2 linked regions of the Drosophila melanogaster genome follow. The protein of the gene in region 1 interacts with the protein of each later gene in a pairwise test. Each region holds a gene or a part of one and is shown in the gene's direction. Other genes may lie near its edges. The genes, in order: cos and smo.

The links.
Region 2: the proteins of cos (region 1) and smo interact in binary tests that used the Drosophila melanogaster proteins (3 or more experiments, as listed by UniProt).

The regions. Positions count from the first base shown.
Region 1 is NT_033778.4:7,385,256-7,389,177, reverse strand, and holds the start of cos (costa), read left to right. Parts: upstream 1-2,062; 5' UTR 2,063-2,198; coding exon 2,199-2,850; intron 2,851-2,908; coding exon 2,909-3,620; intron 3,621-3,676; coding exon 3,677-3,922. Other genes in the region: Dhx15 (DEAH-box helicase 15), read right to left, coding at 1-470, 750-1,543, 1,598-1,650. UniProt on the Drosophila melanogaster protein: Regulates cubitus interruptus (ci) processing by recruiting multiple kinases to promote its efficient phosphorylation.
Region 2 is NT_033779.5:275,559-279,480, forward strand, and holds the start of smo (smoothened), read left to right. Parts: upstream 1-2,023; 5' UTR 2,024-2,267; coding exon 2,268-2,305; exon of another isoform or gene 2,306-2,371; coding exon 2,372-2,765; intron 2,766-3,084; coding exon 3,085-3,566; intron 3,567-3,626; coding exon 3,627-3,922. Other genes in the region: CG17078 (uncharacterized protein), read right to left, coding at 1-939, 1,181-1,345, 1,401-1,584. UniProt on the Drosophila melanogaster protein: Segment polarity protein required for correct patterning of every segment. G protein-coupled receptor which associates with the patched protein (ptc) to transduce the hedgehog (hh) signal through the activation of an inhibitory G-protein.

The DNA.
Region 1 (3,922 bases):
ATTGGAGCGCAGAATTTCGGGGTAGGTGTTGTCCTGCATCTCGTTTTTAAACGCCTTTTCCGTGTACAGACGGAAACACTTGCCAGGACGCGTACGTCCAGCACGACCGGATCTCTGCTGCGCAGACGCTTTTGAAATGGGTGAGACGAGCAGACTCTCCACTCGAATGCGAGGATTGTACACCTTTTGCTTGGCGAAGCCTGGATCAATCACGAACACCACTCCGTCAATGGTCAGCGAGGTTTCGGCAATGTTGGTGGACACCACGACCTTGCGTCCAATTGCGCCATTAGCATTTGGCGGCGGGGCCGGTTCGAAGATGCGCTGCTGCAAATTGGGCGGCAGCGTCGAGTACAGGGGAATGCATTTCAGCTCTCCAATTTCTGAGCCCAAATTGTCGATCTCGCGCTTGATGCGCTTGCAAGCCTCCTCAATCTCCTCCTGGCCCGTGAGGAACATTAGGATATCACCTAGAGTAGCAAAATCAAGTTGGGGTTTAGTTTACAATGGAAAAAGCGAATGCGTCTTTTCCGGCATTGAATAGGATCATATTCAAAAGTCGTAAACACTTGAATGATTACAATACCATTAAAGCAAATACGAAGCATTTGCCGCCCTTCGGCACTCGGAAAGTTTATATTTTGCCTGGCACTTTTACATTGTAAACATATGATCGATAAATGCTTCTTAGAACAATGAACTAGCAAGCTATTAAATGAACTCCAAGCTAAACTCATTTACCAACTTACCCTCAATTTCCTCGCACATGTGTATCTGGATTACCGTGCGAATAGCAGCCTCTAGGTAATCTCTTTCTGGTTCGGGCGTGTAGAAGATCTCCACGGGATGTGTGCGACCGGGCACTTTCATGAGCGGTGCGTTGTCGAAATACTGCTGGAACTTGCCGGCGTCCAGTGTGGCGGACATGACCACCAGCTTAAGGTCGCTGCGCTGACGAATGACCTCCTTGAGCACGCCCATTAGAATGTCAGTGGCCAAGGTCCGCTCGTGAGCCTCGTCAAGCAGAATGACCTGGTACTGGTCCAGCATGGGATCAGACATGGCCTCGCGCAACAACATACCATCGGTCATGTACTTGAGCAGCGTCTTGGCCGTGGAGCAGTCCTCGAAACGGATGGAGTAGCCGACCTCTTCGCCCAGTTTTACGTCCATCTCCTCCGAAACGCGCTGGGCCACGGACATGGCGGCAACTCGACGTGGCTGTGTGCAGGAGACTCCCTTGCGCCCCTTGGATACTGCGAAGTCCACGCACCACTGCGGGATCTGGGTCGTCTTGCCGGAGCCAGTCTCGCCCACCAGCACAATACACTGGTGCAGGCTGAGCAGCCGCATAAAGTCCGCCTGGTACTCGAACACGGGCAGCGCAATGCGCTTCTTGTAGAGATTCTGGTACCGTTGTGAGTACGGCGTGTTGGTCAGCGGGTTCATCGTGGGCGGTTGCTTGTTGGGCACGAATCCGCCCAGGATTTGAGCCACTGTGCCGGCAGCGGCTGCCGCCGACGAGGAGGACGCCTCCGGGTCCCTGGTGAGAAAGGAGCGTTACATTACTGCCGTATGTTGGCCTCGGGTCACTTACTTCTTCGCCTTGCTGCCGTAGGTCTCCCCCACTTCGATTCGACGCTTGGACATGCTAATTTATGGTGATTACTGCACTTAATTCTCAAAACGAAGCGTTTAGCACAAAAAAAAACACGCGCTCAGTGAGACCTTTAGCATATACCGACCATGCTGATCGCAACTTTTAAAATACCAAAGTTTACTGTCTGTGTATACTATATAAGCCCATGGTTAGCGAAGATCACAACCAACAGCACGGCAGCAATTTGGCATTTAAAAAAAAACAGCAGTTCAAGCTTAAGTCTTTTGACGAGAATCTATCTATAGAATTCGGTTTTACTCACCAGTTTGAAGAATAGTTGTGAGCTCACAGTCTTAAAATTGACATTTGACAGCAATTTGATTGGAAACTGATTTTGATTTTTACAGTAACAAACTGTTACATGGATTCGGTATTTTCGGCTTGGGTTGGCGCTTTAGCGTCGGCCACACTATCACATTGTATCGATTCGGAGGGAGTTGAATTTTTGCACGTATTTGAAAGCGCAAAGATGCGAAACAAAGAGCAGGATATCGAATGAAAGAGCTCCTGCGAGACCAGGACTAGTTGCCTAACCACCATGGAAATACCCATTCAGGTAGCGGTGCGCATCTTCCCGCATAGAGAGCTCAAGGACTTGTTGAGGAGCTTCGGCCCCACAGAGCCCAAAAAGGATGCGCAGGCGGTGGATGAGGGGGCGGACTCCAAGGACTCCGAGGCTCAAGTTCCGGCGGCTGAGAAGGACAATCCGTCAATTTCAGAGACGGACCCAAACGGGAATGCTGAGCAGGACAGTGCGGCCGATTCGAAGACAATTCCAGATGCCAATGGCAACGACAGTGGTCAGAAGGATTACCCAGACTCCGCATATTGCGTTCAGGCTATTCCCATCAGCGCTTCGGCCCTGGGATTGCCCAGTGCCCTGCCAGGCGGAGATCCCATGGACAGCATTGCAGCTGGACTGATACAAGTCGGTCCCCACACGGTTCCGGTCACCCACGCCCTGCCCAGCAGCAGCTCCCAGGAGCAAGTGTACCACCAGACGGTCTTTCCGCTCATCACCCTGTTCCTGGAAGGTTTCGACGCATCTGTAGTCACCTATGGCCAGAGGGGCCAGGGCAAAAGCTACACACTCTACGGAAACGTCCAGGACCCTACTCTGACGGATTCCACCGAAGGAGTCGTCCAACTTTGTGTCCGTGACATTTTCTCACACATATCGTTGCACCCAGGTGAGTTTACTAAAAGGATCTTATAAGCATAGTTATCCATTTCCATTTTCACTTTAAGAACGCACCTATGCCATCAACGTGGGATTCGTGGAAATTTGCGGAGGTGATGTCTGCGACTTGTTGGGCATGGGAAACATACACTGCACCAACGTAGATGCCGTCTTCCACTGGTTGCAGGTGGGTCTGTCGGCCCGCCAATCGTTGCCGGCGCACACCCTGTTCACGCTTACCCTGGAGCAGCAGTGGGTGTCCAAGGAGGGGCTGTTGCAGCACCGCTTGTCCACGGCCAGTTTCTCGGATCTCTGCGGCACAGAGAGATGTGGAGACCAGCCACCGGGACGTCCTCTCGATGCTGGCCTGTGTATGCTGGAGCAGGTGATCAGTACTCTCACAGATCCAGGCCTCATGTACGGGGTTAATGGCAACATTCCGTACGGTCAGACCACGCTCACCACTCTCCTGAAGGACTCGTTCGGCGGACGGGCTCAGACGCTCGTGATCCTGTGCGTGTCACCGCTGGAAGAGCACTTGCCCGAAACTCTTGGCAACCTGCAGTTCGCCTTTAAGGTGCAGTGCGTACGTAATTTTGTAATTATGAACACCTACTCCGACGACAACACGATGATCGTTCAGCCGGCTGAGCCTGTTCCCGAATCCAATTCCTCTGCTGGACCCTTGTCGCAGGCGGGACCAGGGGACAACTTTGGCCTACAATTCGCAGCAAGCCAATGGTCCAAACTAGTTACCAACGCCGAGGGGCTATTTTCCAAGTAAGTGTACACATTATTTCCGATGTGGGCCTTTTGACGACAAAAGAAATTTATAGGCTGATAGACTCCAAGCTAATTACTGAAGTGGAGAAGGAGCAGATCGAGGAGTGGCTCTTCCTCAAGCAGGAGTGCGAGGAGTGTCTCAGCTCAACAGAGGCTATGCGTCAGCAAAAACAGTTGGTTCCCATTCTGGAGGCCGAGGAGCCCGAGGACGTGAATTCTGAAGCAGCCAATTCGGAGTCGCCAAACTCCGACAACGAAAACGACACAGACAATGAGTCGCATCGGCCCGATCTGGACGA
Region 2 (3,922 bases), on another chromosome or scaffold:
GATCGATGGACATAAGCAGCTCAAAGTGCTGGTACAGCACAGCCTTGTCAAAAATATATGGCCAATTGTCCTTAATGGCCGTTATATCTGGGATCTTTTCGCTGTTATTAAAAAAGGAGCGCTGCAACGGAAAGCACTCTTTCATATATTCGATTATGACGGACTGTTCCAGTGGGGAACTGCCTCGGTAGCTGGAGATTAGTAACTCCTTTTTGTGCTCCAGATCCCTGTTAAGAGCCAGCGATTTTGCATCACCATTGGAAGCACCACCTCCGAATTTTCGTTTTTTATTAGGGATGTGGATCTCAAAGGTTCCCGAGCTGCCGCGTTTCTGGGGTTTGTTTAGGGCATTGTTACGGTTGATCATCTTGGATATGAGCGATTGCGGAGTGGTGGCTATAAACTGTCCCTCGCGGTCTTTTTCGAGTAAGGAGTCGGGGTACTTTTCAGCCGCCTGTTGGGCGACCTGCCGGAAAATCCGTATGGGAATGTGGGCGGATATTTCACGGAGAGCCTCCACCAAAACATTCGCAAGTGTATTCAACCGCTTGCCCAAACTCCCCTTTCCCTTTAGTAGTTTCATTATGTCCCCAGGCACCTTGCTCCAGGGTATCGAGAACTCCTTGAATAGAGCAGAACTCTTTGCACTTGATGGCGTTACGCTGGACAGTGACATGGTTTCGTCATTAGAGACCGTCGAATCGTTCGGGTTCGACACAATACTGTTGTTGGCATAGAAGCTGGGATCCACCGAGCTGCCGGCGCGTTCGGATCGGTTGAGGGGCGATGGCGGAGGAAGCACCACATACTCCTCCGACTCGGCGAGGAGCATCAACAGAATCTTCTCCTTGGCAGCGAACAAGAGCACGTCGTCCTCGCAGATCTCGCAGCCGTTGCTCTCCAGGACAATTGTGTTGCCGCACAGGCCGTATTTGTGAGCTACCGAATACAAATATATTATTGATATAAATTAAATAAAATATGTACAATTATTTAATTTCTATCCTAGATAAATATATCACCCATTGATCAAATTTATATTTTTAAATGCAGAAATGCTCTAAGCTTAAACCCAATAGATTCTTATTAAAGACTGTCTACTGGTTAATAACTTCCAACTGGGCAACGTTCATTCGGAATACTGGATGAATAGATACCCAATTCGTCGGACGTTCCTTACCTTTGTCGATTACATCCTTTCGAGTGGGCAACGACATGAAGGTCTTCTTGATCTTGCGATCGGCGCTGCATATGGTAATCAATACTTTGTCAGCCAGCTCGGTCTTCGGCTTGCCCTCGTCGTCGTCCTTCTGGCTAGCATCAGTGGAATGTGTCGGCTCTACGGCTAAAAGGTAAACGTTAACCAGGAAACTAGACTAGCTTCGAGCAAGTTTGCTAACCGGGGGCTTTCTCACCGCAGCTCTCTGGCTTTTTCGCTCCTCCTGTTTGTACACCATTTTCGATTGTTGTTGCCTTTGCGAGTGCGACCGGCGCTTGGTTTGCATTTTGATTCGGACTGATCGGCGCCTGCTGGGTGCTATGATCGCCGCCGGAACTGGCGGGCGGTGCGGGGGCAACGTCCATGGCTTCTATTTGCGTTTGCGCGACTCCAACCAAGCCCTGTTATCCGTGTTTTTGGACCGTGCCGTGAAATAATATTGCAGAATAGGGATGTAAAAACTACATCGATGCTTGGTGCGCTACTATCGCGGTGTTATCGATACTCCGCACCCAGTGTGACCGTCGAGCGCATGGCATAAATAAATAAGCCAGCGGCCAGCATTGCCATATAGTCAAAATGTTGCGGGGAACACCTTTTTCGTTTGCTGATGCATTTCTACATATGATCATATTTCTTATTTTATGTTGATGTTATCTTATGTTACGATCGAACAAAATAAATCCGATTTGTTTGCATATCATTCGACTTGTTGCAGCTATGACCGATAATAACCGATGCCGACCGATAACATGCAAATCTCGCTGACCGATAACATGGGTATATTTAAACTGGCCCTGAATGGTCGCACATTTGTTGCTTCAGCTTCACGTTGAGTCGCGTTTATTTTTGTTTTCCTCCTTGGTTCTTGTTTTTTTTTTCTCTTTTTTAAAAACACTGCAATCCTTCAAAGGGAACAATTAAACCAGGATATCCCGAGTCCAACGAAAGCGCCTTCACGATGCACTGACGAACCGCTGAGCAAGAAACGGGCATTCAGCCCATTAAAATTCACACAAGGCAGCTATTTAATGATTTTTATAAGCGGATGCAGTACTTAAACTTTCCGCGCATGCCAAACATTATGTGAGTGACTCGCCTCTGGCAAATGGTGTGGGCAATTAAAATAACTTGGTTATTTACAAACCGCAGGATGTTCCTGGAGGTTGCGATCTTATGCCTGTGGGTGGTCGCAGACGCATCGGCCAGTTCGGCCAAGTTCGGCAGCACAACGCCCGCAAGTGCGCAGCAGTCGGATGTGGAACTGGAGCCCATCAATGGGACTCTCAATTACCGACTGTACGCCAAGAAGGGCAGGGACGACAAACCCTGGTTTGATGGCCTAGACAGCAGGCACATCCAGTGTGTCCGACGTGCCCGTTGCTACCCCACCTCGAACGCAACCAACACCTGTTTCGGCTCAAAATTGCCCTATGAGCTGAGCAGCCTAGATCTCACCGACTTCCACACCGAAAAGGAGCTGAACGATAAGCTGAACGACTACTATGCCCTGAAGCACGTGCCCAAATGTTGGGCAGCTATACAGGTGAGGAATCTTAATAACATCTAATGTACCTAATGATTTCAAAAGGTGGGGCCGAGTCTGTATGAAAATACAGATTGTCGCATTATTTTCTGATAAGGAGGTGCATTAGAAACAAGTTAAGCGCACAACTGTGATTACTTAATTACGCTTTGTGTTCAAGCAGTGAAAGTAATATGTGAATTGCTTTATCTTGGGAAGATTCAGATATATATACATATTCAGTTGTGGCTCAAGGTTTTCTGTAGATATTATAGTATTTCAAATCCATTTCTTCAATATTCCGGATTAGCTCAACACACCCATTTTTACATGTTTATAGCCCTTTTTGTGCGCCGTCTTTAAGCCGAAGTGTGAAAAAATCAACGGCGAGGACATGGTCTACCTGCCATCTTACGAGATGTGCCGAATTACCATGGAACCCTGTCGCATTTTGTACAACACGACGTTTTTCCCAAAATTCCTTCGCTGCAACGAAACACTCTTTCCGACGAAATGCACAAACGGAGCACGAGGAATGAAATTCAACGGAACTGGCCAGTGTTTAAGTCCTTTGGTTCCGACAGATACGTCAGCCAGCTATTATCCTGGCATCGAGGGCTGCGGCGTGCGATGCAAGGATCCACTCTATACCGATGATGAGCATCGGCAGATCCACAAACTGATCGGATGGGCTGGCAGCATATGTCTTCTGTCTAACCTTTTCGTGGTGTCCACCTTCTTCATCGACTGGAAGAATGCCAACAAGTATCCGGCAGTAATTGTGTTCTACATAAATCTTTGCTTTCTAATTGCTTGCGTCGGGTAAGTTTTGAGCACTATTTTGCATTTGTATTCTTAATCAACCACGTATTTACTATGCAGCTGGTTGCTTCAGTTTACTTCTGGCTCGCGAGAGGACATAGTATGTCGTAAGGATGGAACACTTCGCCACTCAGAGCCTACAGCCGGTGAAAATCTTTCTTGCATAGTGATCTTTGTGCTGGTCTATTATTTTCTCACCGCTGGAATGGTTTGGTTTGTGTTCCTCACCTACGCCTGGCATTGGAGGGCCATGGGCCACGTCCAAGATCGGATAGATAAGAAAGGTTCCTACTTTCACCTCGTGGCGTGGTCACTACCCCTTGTGCTTACCATTACCACGATGGCTTTCAGTGAGG